3 linked regions of the Ovis aries genome follow. The protein of the gene in region 1 interacts with the protein of each later gene in a pairwise test. Links are inferred from orthologs where the notes say so. Each region holds a gene or a part of one and is shown in the gene's direction. Other genes may lie near its edges.

Region 1 (5,898 bases):
CAACATCCTCCTTGGTATACCTTCTCATGCCAGCTCCCTTGTCCCCTCTAGGAAGAGTACAGATTTAAAGGAAGTGTGAATATTTGGAATACAAGCTGGTTAGCTTTCATGTCTTGCTGAAATGGAACCAGTGATCTGAGAGGCTTTGACCACATGAATTGAAAATAGCAGGAGTGCCTTAGTAAAAAGCATGGTAACATTCATTCAGCGATAGTTCTCTCTTTTGATAAGCATTTTGAAGCATCACACAGGGAATATCTTGGCAAGGATAGTTTTTCTTACTTGAAGCACTGTCACCTCACATTTTCGTGTAACTATCTTTGCTTTCCTAATATTATTGACATTTTTGGACACTTCATGTATTCCATACATTATGCTTAACACTTCAAAGATTGTCTCATTTACTGCACAAAGAAACCTCCAATATAAGTACTATTGTAAATCCCATTTTACAGATGAGGAAATGAAGTCAAAGAGGTTTATAATTTGCCCAGAGTCTCAAAGCTGGGAAGTGATAGGACCAGGATGGGAACCTGGGGCTCTCTCAATACAAATCTCTCATCTGTAAACCTTTCCTTAATTTCTGTCACACTGAGTGATCTTTTCTAAACTCACTCTTTTGGCACTCAGGGATTCCTAATCTTTTTTGTGAGATGAGCCACTTTAGCATTGTAGAGGAGCCCGTTGGGATCTTTCTCAGGATATGATTTTATCTCTCTTCTTTTATTTTTTTTGGCCACATTGAGAAGCATGTGGAATCTTAGTGGCCCAACCAGGGATCAAAACTGCCCCCGGTAGTGGAAACTCACAGTCTTAACCACTGGACCACCAGAGAATTCCCTGAAATATGCTTTTAAATGCAAAAAAATGAAATGTGGTATATTCAAAGAACCCTCAGGAGTCTGTTGACCATAGGTGAGGAACCTCTAACTGGCAATTAGTTGTGTATTACTTAATAGTTGGGGTGTCTGATATGGTAGCCACTAGCCATATGTGGCTGGTGGACACTTGAAATTTGACTGATCCAAATAGAGACATAATGTGAATGTAAAATGCACACTATATTTTGAAGACTTAGTATGAAAAAACAGTGACAAATGTCTCATTAATATTTAAAAATTTGGATTAGATATTGAAATGGTAATATTTGGGATATATTGGATTAAACTATATTATTAAAATATACAGTTAAATTATTAATTATGTTAATATGTTATTAAAAGTGACTTCCAAAAGTATTAGCTCTATACCAACACTTTTTTTTCAACACTTTCTTTTTAACAGTTGAGGAAATCAAGACCTACAGTACTTCTCATTCAGTCAGGCATTGGCAGGTCTGTTGACTCTTGACCCTGTGTTCTTCCTAAGCTGTCATACTGCTTTTGTATCTTTTTGTATTTTGAGGTCTTATCACGTTGGCTTTGCAAACTATAAATACTCAGAATGCGTTTTGTTGAGATGTGGTGGTAACTGACTCAATCCCAGTAAAATCCCCGGAAGGACTGTCCAGGTCCTTACCTGGCATGCCATCTGCCTTGCTTATGTAGAATTTTAGTTTTAAAGGTAGGGGTGCAGGATGGTTTTTGCTCTCTGTTTGCTTCTCCTTGGGTAGTGGTTCCAATTTAAGCATCTGGCTGGATCAGTCATCACACAGATAAGAGACAGAAGTTTGGTTGCCTTGCTGTGTTCCAGGGAAGGAAACGGGAGTAGGTAGAGAAGGGCATGGTAGACAATGAGCTTGTGTTGCCTGCAGTGGAAAATGAAAACTCTGTGAGGGGGACGGAAGATCATTTGTCAGTGAGCACACATTGATTGATTGCCTCCCCGCAGGCCGTGTGTGCTAGAAACAGTGGAGGGTATCCAGAGGATGTCCGTGTCCTCGAGGAATTTAAATTAAAATTGGGGAAGGGCTTGGTTGTATACATACAGATGGATAAATCACAGCTGAAGGCCCGGAGCTATTGGGAAATGAAGGGAGGCCTGAATGTACAGCCTTCTGGGGTGCAGTGCCCCAGGTTGCTGTGAAGTCTGGCTTTGGAGGACATGGGTCATTGGGTCTCTCTCTTACAGGTCACTAATCCACTCTTCTAGTTACAGACATAAGCTGTGTATCTGGAAAAAACTCAGGTGCTCGTATGAAAGTCTGTATTAGTACTCTATTAGTCCACCGTTTATTGATGAGAGTAGTAACACCCAGGTCCATGAAGCCCTGTCCAAAACCCCTGGGGCCAGGCATGTTTCAGAATTGAGATGATCTCAGGGTTTGGAATTTAGTAATAGAGTGCATAGTCTGCATATCATCCCCTGGGGGCTGGGGCAGCCATCTCTATAATTTTTTAAAAAAATTAAAAATTTCTGCAGCATAATACACTAAATGGGATACATTAAAACCATAAACAGCTCTATAAGCATATATATCAGGTTTAGTTGGCAAATGAGTTTAGGTCATGGCAGGTTTTGCCACCAAATAAGTAATGGAAAACTTCCAGGTTATTTATTTGTTTTGGCTGTGCTGTACCACATGTAGGATCTTAGTTCCCTGACCAGGAATCAAACCCATTCCCCCTGCGTTGGAAGTGTGGAGTCTCAACTACTGGGCCACCAGGGAAGTTCCTTTTCAATATTTATTAAAAATTTTAAAAATTGTTTATTTGGCTGTGCCGGGTCTTAGTTGCAGCACGCAGACCCTTAGTTTTGACATGTGGGATCTAGATCCCAGGGATCAAACCATGGCCTCCTGCCTTGGGAGTACATGCAGTCTTAGCCACTGGACCAGCAGGGCAGTCCCACAAACCTCCCAGTTTCGAGAGCACATGGTTAAGGATGTGCTATGTTAATCATCACCATCACAATACAAAGAACATAAATTGAACAACATCATCGTTTATTATCTCCCAGGCACTCTTCTAGGCACTCCTTTAACCTTTAGGACAGCCCTTTGAGGTAGGTCCTGCTATTATTTCTGTCTTAAGGAGAATAAAAGAGGATCAGAGAGAAGTTAAATTACTGCTGCGATCGCCGCTGGGCAGGAGCTAAGGAGTGAGCCGATGCACGCCTCGGCAGCCTGGTCTAGGGGGCCTGCCTCTTTAACCTTTGTTAAAGTTAGGCTTTGTTTTGGGGGGCAGGGAATGGGAGCAGGTGTGTCTCCAAAATGCATGCTTATTAAGTTACCATTATTCACAATGATAATGACATTCGCACTCCTTAAGGGTATAACAGTGAGGAAGCACAGACAATGGAGCCAGTAAAGCAAGGTCTTTGTTTTTAGGGGCTGAGAGTAATGAGTGATTATGTAATAAGTGATTGTGGCTCCTCAACAGAGCTGGCAGAAAAGCCCAGTCCAAACTCACATTACCGTGTCTATTTCTTCCAGATAAGCGAATCCTGAACATTGCAGTTTTCTGATTGCTGTGCAAGGATGGAGGCCCCACTGGTGAGTTTGGATGAAGAATTTGAGGACCTTCGGCCCTGCTGCTCGGAAGACCCCGAGGAGAAGCCCCGGTGTTTCTACGGCTCATCTCCCCACCATCTCGAGGACCCCTCCCTATCTGAGCTGGAGAATTTCTCTTCTGAGATCATCAGCTTCAAGTCCATGGAGGACCTGGTGAATGAATTTGACGAGAAGCTCAACGTCTGCTTTCGGAACTACAACGCCAAGACCGAGAACCTCGCTCCCGTGAAGAACCAGTTCCAGATTCAAGAGGAGGAGGAGACCCTGCAGGATGAGGAGTAAGGCGTCTCAGTTGTTCCCTGTTGTCTCAGATTAGAGCCCTGGCGTCCGGCGCTCCTTGACATAGAATGAGTTTCTATCCTTGGGTTTATGGTGTATTACTTATATTTTTGTATCAGTGAGACTGCACCCTGGAAACTGCTAACCTCGTTCCATTATATCCCTTTACAGTTGTCACCTGTAGAGTTTTCTTAAGTTGAAACCGCAAAGGAATAAAGTATTTTTAGGAAAGAGATTTCCCTAGATACAAAATCAAAATTCAGGAGCATGGGAAATTTGGGGGTCTGTCTATTTTCAGCTTGCTTTATATCGTAACAGTCCATCCAGATATTAGAGATAAGGGCAAGAAAAAAAAAATGAACTGAGAGGAACTATGTTGTTGAAACAATTTTCTTTACAAAACACCAAAACTGTGAAAATCTCCAAGTTGTTTACACCCCCTCAGAACTGGAAAGATTATCTGCAAAAGTTAAGTCCAAATAAGAAAGTATGAACATTGAACCAAGAGATTGGGGACTTACCCTGGACAAAACAAAAATGATAAGCAGGTGAAATGGCTTTTGAGTATTCCCTGTGTCACTTAATAGTCACCTTCTGGGGTCTTAGCAGAAGTCAGGAACAAAGATTTGAAAAAAAGTGCTGTTCAAGGAGGGACTAGAAAGAGGAGAGGGTGTTTGTTATATGAATTAAAGGTATTTGGGATATTTAGTAAAAATAGGCATAAATTCCCCATAGGGATAAAATATGCATCAACTATTCTTTAGGGATCACACAGGAAATGTCGAGTAGTTGGTAGTGGAAATTTCAGTCAAAAGAGCAACTGCACTTCTGGTTTCTCTTTTTTATGTGCTTGGGTGGGAAAAGTTGCCCATAAGTAAGTGGGGGAAGAAGACCCCTTCTACAGCAGGGGTCCCCCACCTACGGGCTGTGGACTGGTACCTCTTGTCAGATCAGCGGTGGTATTAGATTAGAAATAAAGTACACAGGAAATGAAATGCGTTTGTCATCCCCAAACCATCTTCCCTACTCTCGGTCTGTAGAAAAATTGTCTTGTACAAAATTGGTCCCTGGTGCCAAAAAGACTGGGAACCTCTGCACTACAAGATTGAACCCGATTATATTTGGCAGATAGTTGCTTATCTGAAAACTACTGAGACCGTCTGTCTGTGAATATTAGGGCTGTCTGTCTGTCTGCCTTACTCGTTATTCTGTCTCAAGTATCTGACACAGTGAGTGGTATGTAGTAAGTGATCAAATCATGTTTTTTGAGTGAATATTGAATGACCTGGATGAGCAATAATAGCTAGCCTCATAGGTACACATAATGCATTTCCTCCTTTTCTTTTTAATTAATGCTAGCCTGAAGGTACGATCACAGAGGACATTTCACTCTGGTGACCAATACTGTGACTGTGGGCTATGTGTTTCAATTCAATTTTAAGTTTCAAGCTGATTTTTTAGATTTGGAGCCTGTTACAATTTGCTCAGCTCCTCGAGGTCAAAAAAGAATGTTTCTGGGGCTTTATTATAATACAGAGCTTCTTTGACCATAGTTCACTGCAGCACGCAATGGACTAGAAACACTATGAGCTGTCATTTTCACACTCTCACTAACTCACTGTGTGACCTTGGGCTCATCGCTTAACTCTGGTTGAATGTGATGGTGCTCATCTTTGGAACCTTTGGAGCTCAGTTTCGATGAGGCAGGGCTAAGGACTGGCTAAGAGCCTCATTTCTCACCTCACCCAGGCTGTGCTCTGAAAATTCCTTTTGCTTCCAACAGATCATGTCTCCTTGTCTAAACCACCCTCTGCCTCATTAAGGACAGAGGTTCAACAACCAGGTTCTTACCCTTTTCTAGCACATTAGCAGAGGCCACTCAATGTTAATTACTGTCACATGGGATTATTGGTCTTATCCTGATTTCTCTGACTTGCCTGCCTCATTGACTGCTCAGCTAAATGACTGAAAGCTGAATAATTCTTTGCAGGTAAAATATGATGTGGGGATAGTGTGGTGCGAAGAATCTGGGGAGAGAAATCGTAATACTGTGCTTTCTGGGCATTCAGCGTGTGTTTCGTACATATCTAAAGCTTTACTGCTTAAAAATTTGAATCAAATTACACACTTTGTTTTATAGACACCCATCCAGCTACTTCAACTGTAAT
Region 2 (5,898 bases), on another chromosome or scaffold:
GCTGCACCCCACGCAACTCCCTGAGAGTGCCAGAGGCACTGGAGCTGCTGCACCAGGGGCCGGACTCGGGGACCCAGCGCGAGCCCTGGCTGGTGGCTCGCACCCTCGAGGGGCCGGCTGGGAGCTGGGCTCCTGCCGCTGGAGCAGCGCCGGACGACAACGCTGGACTCGGAGAGCTCCCCCGTTCAACCGTGTCTGCAGCCAGGGAGCTGTCGGGAGAGAAGGCGCATTTTCAGGTGCCCTCCCTGTCCGGCCACCCTGCCTTCACTGTTTCTCTCCCACCCTCTTAGGTATGGAAACTCGGATGGTCACCCAAACCGGGCGGGGATTTCGGCACAGTGTTCCCTGAGATCCCCGTGGAGTTCCTCCAGGAGAAGGAGGTCTTTAAAGAGTTCATCTACCGCATCAACACGCTGGGTAGGCCGGGGCCCTGTGGGCGCATCGCCCTAACACAGCTGCCGGGAGCCGGGGCGGTGGTGGGATCTGCCTTCTTTTATTCCAGGGAGGAGTTGAGGCAGGACACAGTCGTGTGCGTATGTTCTGTAATACACACAAAGCTGTCACGGTAACGGAGTGTGTGTGCATGTGTGTGTGAGAGAGCGTTTCTTTCCCCGTGTTCAGATCAGGTCAGGCGGTGCCCCCTTGATGGGCGGTACTGAGCCGGGTTCAGCCTGTGTCTCCGCCCCTCGGCTGGAGGGTGCGGGGTTCCCTGCGGGAGCCACCTGTAATCACTGCCACCCTGACCCCTGTGTGCCAGGCAGAGCGGTGTGCTCCATGAGGCAGGGCAGGCCACTTTGACCCCTAGGACTGCGCTTCTGCCGTCCATGGCATGAGGGTGGCGACTGTTTCCCACAACTGCTGCAACCTTAGAAACGGAAGGGGCCCTGATGCACGGCGTCCCCGTCAGCAGCAGGGCCCCAGGCTTCGCTCAGGACGCCGCCTTGCTGCCTGCAGCGTAGCAGAAGCTTACCCTCTTCGTCCACGTGTCGTGGCTGGGGGTAGGCCTGGTGCGTGAGCGCTGTCAGTGGCAGAGGCTGGGAGGCTGCGCCCAGCGTGGCGACTCCACCGCGGCCCCAGCCCCACGTCGGGCCCCTCCGCCCAGCGCCCGTCCTCTCTCAGCCTCCATGGGGTCTGTGCTGCGATGACCCTGGGGCGTGGGCCGGCAGACACCGCGCTGCCACCTCTCCTCCCTGAGTCGAGCGGTGAGCGAAGCCTGAGCAGCAGTCTGAGGCCGCTGCTTTCGGAACTTCCCCGCCCTCTCCCCAGCGGCCCCCCGCCTCCCGCAGCCCGCCCGACCCCCGTGCCCCTGTGTCTCGGGTACCTTCCCGTCTGCGTAGTCAGTCCCCGCGTGCCTGGAGGCAGCCTGCAGGCTTCTCCGGACGCCTGCTTCGCTGTTGCCCATTGTCCTTGTTGCTCCCCTTTCCTCCCACGGGAGTCAGCGCGTGTCTGTCTGGACTTCCCGTCTCAGCTTGTGTGTCTGTCTGATCCATACCTGAATCAGCCGCTCTGTCTGTCCATGTGCAGGTCACCAGAGAGTTCCTGACATTTGAGGCTTTGGTTTTCTGTCCTCGGCACCCCATTCTTGCCCCTTGTAGTGTTGATTCAAGTGGCATGGCCTCCTCCCTCCTAGGGTCCCGGCCCTTGGGATAACTGCTCACCCAGGACCACCTTGGGAGCGCCTTGGGACAGTGGTGCTTGAGAATGGCCCCCGAGACGCCCTCCTCACGGACTGGACTTCCCCCATAGATTACACTCTGTCTCGACCTCCCGTCCTTCTTGAGGGGCCAGGGCAGCCATTGCTCTGAGCTTCGATGGCGCTGCCCTGACGTAGAGTTGACATGGCAGCCCGTGCATCCGTTCGGGTGTGGTTCCACGGTGGAGGCTGGACACACCCACACGGGCTGGGGGTGTGACTCTACGTAAGGCTGTCCCAGCCCCTGCTGAGCAGGGCAGAGGGCGCTCTGACCCCATCTGAGCGTCACCCGCTCAGACATCCACACAGCAGGGTCCAGAGGGTGCTTTGCACCAGGCCACCTGGGCTGAACTCAGCCGTGTCGGTCTACTCACCACTGGGCTCGGCCGGCAGTGAGGCTGCACCGCAGTGCCGTCCTGAGGCTCTGGGCAGTGGCTGTGTGGGCACCTGGCCAGCGAGAGCCACGGTGCCCACTGCCCCGTCTCGCAGAGAAGGCAGAGCAGTGGGGACCCTCTGTCTAAAGCGACACTCGCGTTCCAGGGTGGACCAGCCGCACCCAGTTTGAGGAGACATGGGCCACCCTCCTCGGCGTCCTGGTGACTCAGCCACTCGTGATGGAGCAGGAGGAGAGCCCCCAGGAAGTAAGGCTGCGCGCAGGGTCCAGGGCAGCACGCCCTTCCACCTGTCTCACCCGGGTGGTAAACGGGTGGCCAGTCACATCCTGGCCGGTGTTCCAAGGTCTGGGTGCTCTAGGATCATGGCCCAAAGGCGTTAACCACAGCGTGCTGCCTGCAGGCCGCAGGACTGTGTCCTTCCTTAAATGTATCTCACGTTCTGCTGCTCAGCATCCAGGTATGGTGTGTAGCAACGTTTCATCAAAAAGGAAAGGCGTGTCTTAGAGGCCACACGTGATAACTAGTGTTGATTTCTCTTGACTTGTTTTCCAAAAATTTTATGGGGCCTGGAGTGTTAGTGCATATTGTGGTACTTTAAGAAGACGTGCTCTGATACAGGAAAGCCTGAAACATTAAAAGCTGTCAGGTTCGCGTTCTTCAGATAGAAGGTGTGGTGTGAAGCGGCAGAAGTGGCGGTTCAGAGAGTGTGTGTGTCAGGCGTCACCAGGAGTGACGTTCGCCGGAGAGGAGCCAGCGGCTCGTCCTGTGCAGGGCCCCTAAAATCGGTGAGGAGATTGAGGACAGTTTCTTAAGAAGTAATTCATATTTGGAGCTTTGTGCTTGGAGGAAAGCTGGCTTGGAAAAGCAACCACTTGCCCATCAGATTTATCTCAAATCACAGATGTGTGTGGATTCTGGTGAATTTAGGCAGATGCTCCAGGACCCCCGCCGGGAAGGCACATCTGTCTGTCCGCTCGGGGCCCGTGCCTGTGAGGCCGCCTGGCTAGGCAGCCCCAGGGGAGGTAGTGTGCTGCGGTATGCGCCTTGGTAACCTGGGGCTCTCCTTCCAGGAGGATGTGGAGAGGACGCAGATCCACGTCCTGGCCGTGCAGGCCATCACCTCCTTGGTGCTGAGCGCGATGACCGTGCCCGTGGCCGGCAACCCGGCCGTGAGCTGCCTGGAGCAGCAGCCCCGGAACAAGCCCCTGAAGGCCCTCGACACCAGGTGGGCCCGGGAAGCACGTGCCCAGGGCACGGCCGCGTGGGAGCAGGGAGGCGCTGGGGCGCCCTCTCCTTTGCTGCCAGGGTGGTTTGGTGGCTGAGGCTGACGACCTGGCCTCTGGTGTCGGGGGCCGGCTCCAGTGGAGCTAAGGGGGCGCCTGTGCAGGGCCCGAGGGCCTTGGCTGCACCGTTTCCTGGCAGCGAAGCTGGGAGTCAGGGGGTTCACTTTGAAGATTTTGGAGGAGCTGGGTGCCGGTAACCTTTGCTCTGAACTTAGGTTTGGAAGGAAGCTGAGTGTCATCAGAGGGATTGTCGAGCAGGAGATCCAGGCAATGGTTTCCAGGAGAGAAAACGCCGCCACTCACCACCTGTACCAGGCGTGGGACCCCGTCCCGTCTCTAGCCCCAGCCACCACAGGTTCCAGGGGCTCGTGGGGGGGTGGGTTGCGTGGGGGTGTCAGCCGCTCCTTGTGCCCGTGAGCACGGCTGGACTGTCCCAGTGCCAGGGTGGGGGCTCGGTGGGCACCTTGTCAGCGACCACTAACACTCCAGCTTTTGCAGCTCAGCCCACAGCCAGTTCCCGTTCAGTCTGGTTTGTTATGGAGAAAAAGTGATAGTTCTCATCACCCTGCTGGTCCTGCAGCTTCATATGCTGTGCGGGGACGGACTCCCCACTGAGGGGGCACTCAGGGCTGTGCGGGACGGACTCCCCACTGAGGGGCACTCAGGGCTGTGCGGGGACAGACTCCCCACTGAGGGGGCACTCAGGGCTGTGCGGGGACGGACTCCCCACTGAGGGGGCACTCAGGGCTGTGCGGGGACGGACTCCCCACTGAGGGGGCACTCAGAGCTGTGCGGGGACGGACTCCCCACTCTGCGGGGACACTCATGCATCCTTGCCCTGCAGGTGCTCTCATCAGCCATGACAAGCTGCTGCTGCAGCTCAACCCTGAGCGTGAGCTGGGGGACATGAGCTACAAGCTTGGCCAGGTCAGTGCCCGGCAGGCGGCCAGCGGGGCCGGTTCCTCCCCACCCTCCCTCCAGAGCTAGCTGACTGTCCCCTGCGTGGGTAGGGGGCTTTGTTACATCATTCAGAAACACGGGCCCACACGTGTTGTCTGGTGAGAGGACCGGTTTAGAACAGAGATCCCACCTTCTGGTTCCATTTTGTGTCAAGACCTCACCCTGACGTCCTTCAGCAGCCAAGTTTCCTTTTTCTTTCTCAACGTTCCCTTTCTTAGTGGCGCTTCCCCCTCCTCAGCTGCTCCCAGGGGCGTCATTTGGGGTCTTAAGCCGCGAATCCCTGAGGGTCTGACTAGCCCTGCCCGGGGACGGGGGTTGGTGCTTGCCTCAGAGACCCCCAGTAGGCCCGGCGCCCCTTGCCTCCAGCACCTGAGCACCACCCCATCCCATGTCTCCTGAAGGTGTCCATCCACTCGGTGTGGCTGGGGAACAGCATCACGCCCTTGCGAGAGGAGGAGTGGGACGAGGAGGAGGAGGAGGCCGAGGCCCCAGCACCGTCGTCCCCGCCCACGTCTCCGCTCAACTCCAGGTTCCCTCTGCCTTCTGTCCAAGCGAGCGGGAGCTCCCCCCAGTCCCTTGTTTGGGGGCCTCTTGAAACAAACCTCTCATCTCTTTCGGGGGAAATTGCAGGAAACACCGGGCTGGAGTCGATATCCACTCCTGTTCGCAGTTTTTGCTCGAGTTGTACAGTCGCTGGATCCTGCCATCGAGTTCCGCCAGGAGGACCCCCGTCACCCTGATCAGCGAGGTGGTGCGCTCGGTGAGTGCCCTGCCCGCCCCTGCGGTGCCCGGGCCCCGCGCGGAGACTCGGGATGTTGTAGTGCTTCTCAGGCCAGGGAAGGGGCTGCCTCCACAGCGCAGAGCCGGGCAGGCACGCCCCAGCCCAGTGGCCACATCGTGGAATCGGCACGGGACCGCCTGTCCTCGCAGCGCTGTCTCCTCGGGCCTGTGACAGACGTACCTCCCCAGCAGCCAAGCACCCATCCGGGCGGTTGTTGTCCAGGGGTTGGGCTCAGAGTCCTTCACGTCCGGGAGCTCGGAGGGGCCACCAGGAAGTGTAGCTTCCTGTGTGCAGCACCTGTTAGTCCTCGCAGTGTTGAAGTCACACCTGAGAGGTTTGAAAAGTCGCTTACTCGGTGCCTTCTTGTCACGTGGGTTACGTCCAGAAGGAGGGCCACCCGGGACTGGACTGTTCTTTTTATCTAAAGGTGTCTCCTTTTGGGAATGACTTTCTTTTTTTTTCAAGCTTGTTTTTCTCAGTATCCCTTTAAAGGTTTCATATTTGGTCAAGTTGATATTTTTAAGAACCTCGTTTTTAACTTGTAAGTTGCAAATTGACTTTTATCAAAGAAGTCAGCAAACTACAAGTACTGCTAAAGATCTTAAAAAAAACAAGTTACTAGAAATTCATGGGGGTCCAGTGGTTAGGACTCAGCACTGCTGTGGGCCCAGATTTGTTTCCACAAACCACACGGCATGACAAAAAAGAAGATTGTCTATTTAAGAATAGTAACGACAGTGTCAAGGTTTAAGTTGCTTTGCATCTAGCACCTGGCTCATCAGCACT
Region 3 (5,898 bases), on another chromosome or scaffold:
TATGAGTAGAAGACAGACTAGACAAGATCAAAGAGGAAATAGGAAATCAGAAAAGCAAACAGTGAGTCCAGCTTACTAAAAGTTTGCCTGTGAAGGGAAGCAGGAGGGATAGTTGATGGCTTGAGGTCCTATAGGAAGCAGGGAGACTCAGAGCCCGGATGGAGGCATTCACATCAGTGGGGAAGGAGCCATTTTCCACTGGAATGAACATGAGGAGGGCAAGGATGGGTAGTAAGGCAAATGAGCAAAGTCAGGGGAAAAAAATGTTAAGGAATTTCCTGCCCGATGGCCTCTTTTTGTCTAGGGAAAATGCTAGATGGGTTGCTTAGAGTAGAGAAGGAAGGCTTTAGGAGAGCAGTTGCCGGTTTGAAGTAGTTGCTGTGAGAAACGAATGAGAGCCAACCAGAGATGCATGGGAATCTGGCTGCAGAGAGGTGCTGTTGTGGGCAGAGCTGACGAGCGTGCACGCTGGCACCAGGTCACACAGTCACGGGCGTGCATCTGGCAGGTGAGCACAGAGCACAGAGCTCTTGGCGTTTTGCTTTATGGGTGACCACACAGTGTGGAGAAATCTGATAGACTGGAGGGGTGTTTTTGTTAGTTTGGGTTTTGTTTTGTTTTGTCTGTTTTTAATTTTTTTTGGCTGTACTGCATGGCATGTAGGATCTTAGTTCCCCAACCAGGGATTAAACCCATGTCCCCTGCAATGGAAGTGTAGAGTCTTAAGCCCTGGACCACCAAGGAATTCCCAGATTGGAGGTTTTAGTGAAACTAATGGAGTCTCAGGTAGAAAGCCAGAGAAGAGAATAATTGGATTTAAGACCTCAAGGGTGGAATCTTTTTTCTAATTATGCCAAGGTCTGAAGAGTGGGCGAGGCTCTCAGGCATGGGTGGCCTCAAGGGAAATAAAGGGGAATAAGGGAGAAGGCATTGGTATCTGGGAGCTGCCTGAACTAGAGAAGTAATGGTAGACAGTGGAAGGATCTCATCTAACCCAGATCATGTCAGTGCAGGGGATCTGGAAGAGGGTTGGTGGGAAGTGCCATTTCAGAGAATGTGTCGGGGTAGTGAGAAGTCATCCATGAAAGGCTGAGGAATGTGAGTGTGGCTGGTGTGGCCCAGCAAATTGAGATGGGAACAGGCCTCACCTTCTCATGGGTCTGGAGGCACTTTGGGGCTGATGGATTAGCTGTATATTTTGCTGTACTGGCAGATTTCAGTTTTAGTAGCAGAGATTGTATGATCCACAAGCCTAAAATATTCAGTGTCTGGCCCTTTATAGAAAAAGTTTGTCAATCCTTGATCTAGGTCAAGAAATGAAACAAAACCATAAACTCATTACAGAGCAACAAAATGACAGTTTAAGTTTCTCAGTACATAAGAATTTTGTGTGTATTTGGTAAATAATTATCAACTTAGTAGAAGATGGATTTGAGTTGTAGAGTTTCCATAGGTGGGAATGAGTGGATGAAAACTTGTTCAAGCAAAGAAATCCTAACAAAATGATCTGAAGAACCATTAGCCTTGAAGATGAAGATAGAGCGAATTCCACAGCCATTTAGTTGCAGTAGTTGAGGGAGAAAAGAATCAGACCTGCAAATCAGGGTGACCAGCCATCCCCAGGACACTGGATTTCCAGTGCTAAAACTGGGCAAATGAAATAGTTGGCCGTGCTGTGCTCATTAGCAGCCTGTGAGGTTATTGCGGTTGGCTAAGTGTATTTCTTTCTCACTGCTCAAGTGTGCACTCTCAGAAGTTCAGACTCAATCAGAGGGAGAATTATTTATTAACTGGGTCTAGGTGTCTGTGCTGTTTTTACAATGAAGAAATAAAAGTTCCTCCCTTTAATAAAGGAACTGTCCAGCTGAAGGGTCAAAAACATTAGAAATAAACAAAATCAAAGGTTAAGTGGTGTGATACAGAAAGAGGAGTTAGTGAAACTCAGGGTAGGGTCAAATTAATTGAAGACTCAGAAAGGTCAAATTAAGTCTCGAAGATTGGTTGGAATTTGTAAACTCTAACCAAACTCATACTGGAAGTAGGACTTTGAGTCTGCTCCTTAGAACATGGATTTGGGGATAAGAAGAGGTTGTATCTAAACACCTTTTGGATCTTGTTGCCCAGGGGTCTGTCCTCCAGCCTCAGCAGATGAGACTTTTGAGCATCACCTTCAGCGACTGAGAAAACTCATTAAAAAGCGCTCTGAACTCTATGAAGCTGAAGAGAGAGCCCTCCAAGTTATGTTAGAAGGAGAACAAGAGGAAGAGAGGAAAAGAGAATTAGAAAAGAAACAGAGGAAAGAAAAAGAGAAATTTTTACTTCAGAAGCATGAAATCGAGTCCAAGTTATTTGGGGATCTAGGTAAGTTTCTCTGTAGCCAGTAGAGAAAAGAAAAATACTAGATTGACAGCTCTTTTGTTCATGGATGATCTCCACCTAAGCTAAGAGGTGGTAGATGACAGGTGACACCTTTAGGATTTGAATTCTGAACTATATCCTGGAAATCAGGGCTGAAGGTGAGACACATTTGATCTTATTGTATAATCATAGACTAAGTCAGTTTGCCTTGAGAAATATGCTCTGCACGCTAAGCATGACATGGCATGGTGCCTTTTCTTTTTCAGATGAGTTCCCGCTCGCCCATCTCTTGCAGCCTTTCCGGCAGTATTACCTCCAAGCTGAGCACTCCCTGCCAGCACTCATCCAGATAAGGTGAGAGGGGCATCGTCCACGTCTTCTTTCCCTTAGGTAGCAACAGGCAGTGCTTATGTTGTTGGGGTCTATTACTATATCTTTTTTTTTTTTAGTTCTTATGAATTTATGTACTGTTTCCAAGTTCGAAGGGTGCCACTTACATCTTGTTTAGTCCTCATCAACTCTTGAGAAGTACATGTCCCTATTTTAACAGGTGAAGACACTGAAACTCGGGTTGTGACTTGCCCTCTGTGTTATCCCATGCTATAGCTGTTATGTTGACTTAAAACATTGACTTCCTTTTCCTAATTCTCTTCTGTGGCTAAACAGGCCAAGGAAAAGAAACCCTTCCTGTGTGCTTACTTACTTGTGGAGACTGTTTAAGACCCAGACTGACTTGTGAGTTCAAACCCAAGAGAGCTAGGAACAAGGAGTCTCACCTTTATCTGCAGTTACTAATGAGCTGGGTAAAGTTTTTAGCTCTGAGCCTCGCTTCCCTTACCTGCAAGATGCAAATGGAGGCTTAGACTGTGGCCTTCAAATGTGAACAGCAGTACCCTCCCAGATGCAGTGTTTTGAGAACTCAGTTTGTATAACAGAATGAATGGATGGATAGGTTCCACAGGCAGCTTAAATCTGTTAGTGACTGGAAGCACCTTGTTCTTTCTAGACTCCCCAGAGCATCTCCTTGGATCTAAGGGTCTTCAAAGCCCAGTTTGAAAAACTGCCAAATCAAGTGATCTTTGAGGATCCTTCCAAAGGTCCAACAATGCTGTTCAGCAGTGTTCTGGGAAAAGTGTATTTCCGGCTAATATACAAGTTTTAGCCTTTAAATATATTACAGTTGATTCTCGTTATTCATAGGAGCTCTATTCTATAAAGCTGCAAATGCTGAGTTAGAGAATGTTGAACTCCTGCTCCTAAAGGAAAAATAGATTACTGTGAGCCTCTGGCCATAACATTTCATCAACCAATCAGTATATAAATTTTCTTTCTTTTTTAAAAGACACCTTATTTAATATTTTTGATCCATTAACATTGAACTCATTAACATATAACTGATGCCTGAAGGTAGCTTATCTAACATACACATATTGTCCATAAGGCACATCATGGCCTCCTCATGCTAGCTTTAGCACTCCAGCACTATACTTGGGAGCAATTTTAAACAACAAAATGCCAATAAAAGGCACAAAAATGTGAAGAGTGTTGCACTAAATAGACTAGGGGAGCTGAAGACAAGAAGGCAGAGTGTCACTGTGTCCCACTGCAGTTGGGAACATGCCCTTTGGTGACTCAGGCTTTTCACTGCGCTGTGCGTGTCAGCAGCTAACCGTGGAAGCACCACGAGTCACGATTTGGGAGGTTACACAAATTTTAGTGAGTAGGCAAATTTGCAAATAACAGAATCGATGATTGACGCTATATTCATTCTTTGGTTATCCGTAAAATACGAGTTCTTTGGAGTTTTTTTTTTACCCCATTTGTATATACATTAAGAAGTAGTCTTTTGCATAATTTCTAGAAATTAAGTTCATTAGTAGATTCATATAAGTCGTTTGAGAGCAGAGTCCTGAAATAGAATACTTAGTTGCTAGCATCTTGCTTGAAATAAGACAGAAATAAACAGTTGTTCTACAATGTTCTTATTAAGGCATGATTGGGATCAGTACCTGGTGCCATCTGATCATCCCAAAGGCAGCTCCATTCCTCAAGGATGGGTCCTTCCCCCGCTCCCCAGCAACGACATCTGGGCAACCGCTGTTAAGCTGCATTAGTAAAGATGTTACAGGAGTGTCGTCCAGCCAAGGCTCTTTTCAACTCTAAGTATCAGTGATGCTGCCATCTTGTGATACAGAGCAAACTCCATGTGGCATTGCCCTACCGAGAAGGTACATTTTCCTTCTGTCCTCTGTCTCATCCAGAGGTGCCTCTTGAATCGGGAGATTAATATGATTCTTCAAGAAAAGACCCAGGTGGACTGAGGTTATCATGACAGGCACTGGCCTTGGTTCACCGAATTTGCCTCTGTTTTGAGGGGCTTCGTCTAGAGTGACTTGCAAGTTTACTTGTACCTTTCTCGCGTGGTAATGGGTAAGTACACTATACACGCATATCCTCGGCACAGGTGTGCTCTGGGTAGCAGTCCTTCCCCCAGTACTGCTTGTTAAGGTAAGCTTGATGCAAAATCTCCTTACCTTTCTTACCCAAAGACCCTCCTAACTTCCAGGAAGAAAAGTAAGGAAGGCTTTATCTTCAGTTTTGTGAATTCTACTTTTGGTGCAGCTGGAGAGGCTAGGCTGCCAGAAAAGCTGGTGGCCTCACTGCTAGTATGTGGAGAACTTGGAAAGCCTGCCGAGTGCTTGTATCCAAACTGGATTGTGTTTTAATGGATGCTGGCTGCATGTCCCCCATGTTAGAAGGATCCTAATGAAAGCACCTGCTTCTTAAGTTCCTAAAGGTCTGGATGTTCAGAATCCCCAGCGATAAAAATTAATTTCCTTATGGGATTACGACCCTGATCAACTTCACTCAGTCACCCTGTGGGAGCCAGTAGAGTGGAAATTGTGGAATTTTCTTAGGAACTCAAGCTTCCAAAATTATATACATAGTTGAAGTGGGGGGCAGGGGGGAAGTGGATTAAAATAATAAAACTTATTTTTTATATTCATTAATAAATGCTGTTGTGCCTGGAGATGACCAATCATATAACATTGTCAGGTTTTTTGTTTGGTTTTCCTTTTTTGTCATTTATTGTGTTGTTTCCAAAAAGCTAAATAAATATTATTTTTATTTTTTTAGTTTGAGCCTTTGCCCTCAATTTGTTGCCTCCGAAATCACTGTACACACTTTCTCACTGCTGAAACACACACACTATAAAGTTCACATTTAGTAACTAGGCATTTGCTCCAGGAAGGCAAACCTCAAGCACTAGACTTTGTATGTGGAATCCAGCTCTGGATAAGCAGGAAAGGACACCTCAACTTTGGAAGTGATTTCATGTAACTGGAAGCACTTGGGTACAAGATACTAACTAACACATTTGTCCCTGTTTTATTTGCACTGTTAAGTTTCTATATTAAGCACTACAGAGTTAACAGATAGGGTGTGAGTGCCATCACTCCTCCAAAGTGTGTTTAAGTTCATAAACCTCAGAATCTGACGTGGTCAGGCTCACATAACCCCACAGGCCTGTGTGCCCTT

Evidence for each region.
Region 2: the proteins of FEZ1 (region 1) and HTT interact in binary tests that used the Homo sapiens proteins (3 or more experiments, as listed by UniProt). The link is inferred for Ovis aries from reciprocal best matches to the Homo sapiens genes FEZ1 and HTT.
Region 3: the proteins of FEZ1 (region 1) and PDCD7 interact in a two-hybrid assay, tested with the Homo sapiens proteins (2 studies listed by BioGRID and IntAct). The link is inferred for Ovis aries from reciprocal best matches to the Homo sapiens genes FEZ1 and PDCD7.

The regions. Positions count from the first base shown.
Region 1 is NC_056074.1:26,390,749-26,396,646, reverse strand, and holds part of FEZ1 (fasciculation and elongation protein zeta-1), read left to right. Parts: intron 1-3,373; 5' UTR 3,374-3,418; coding exon 3,419-3,729; intron 3,730-5,898. UniProt on the Homo sapiens protein: May be involved in axonal outgrowth as component of the network of molecules that regulate cellular morphology and axon guidance machinery.
Region 2 is NC_056059.1:116,333,775-116,339,672, reverse strand, and holds part of HTT (huntingtin), read left to right. Parts: intron 1-290; coding exon 291-417; intron 418-2,233; coding exon 2,234-2,334; intron 2,335-3,158; coding exon 3,159-3,313; intron 3,314-3,586; coding exon 3,587-3,726; intron 3,727-4,215; coding exon 4,216-4,298; intron 4,299-4,732; coding exon 4,733-4,860; intron 4,861-4,961; coding exon 4,962-5,091; intron 5,092-5,898.
Region 3 is NC_056060.1:12,044,777-12,050,674, reverse strand, and holds the end of PDCD7 (programmed cell death protein 7), read left to right. Parts: intron 1-2,124; coding exon 2,125-2,361; intron 2,362-2,624; coding exon 2,625-2,712; intron 2,713-4,348; coding exon 4,349-4,472; 3' UTR 4,473-5,495; downstream 5,496-5,898. UniProt on the Homo sapiens protein: Promotes apoptosis when overexpressed.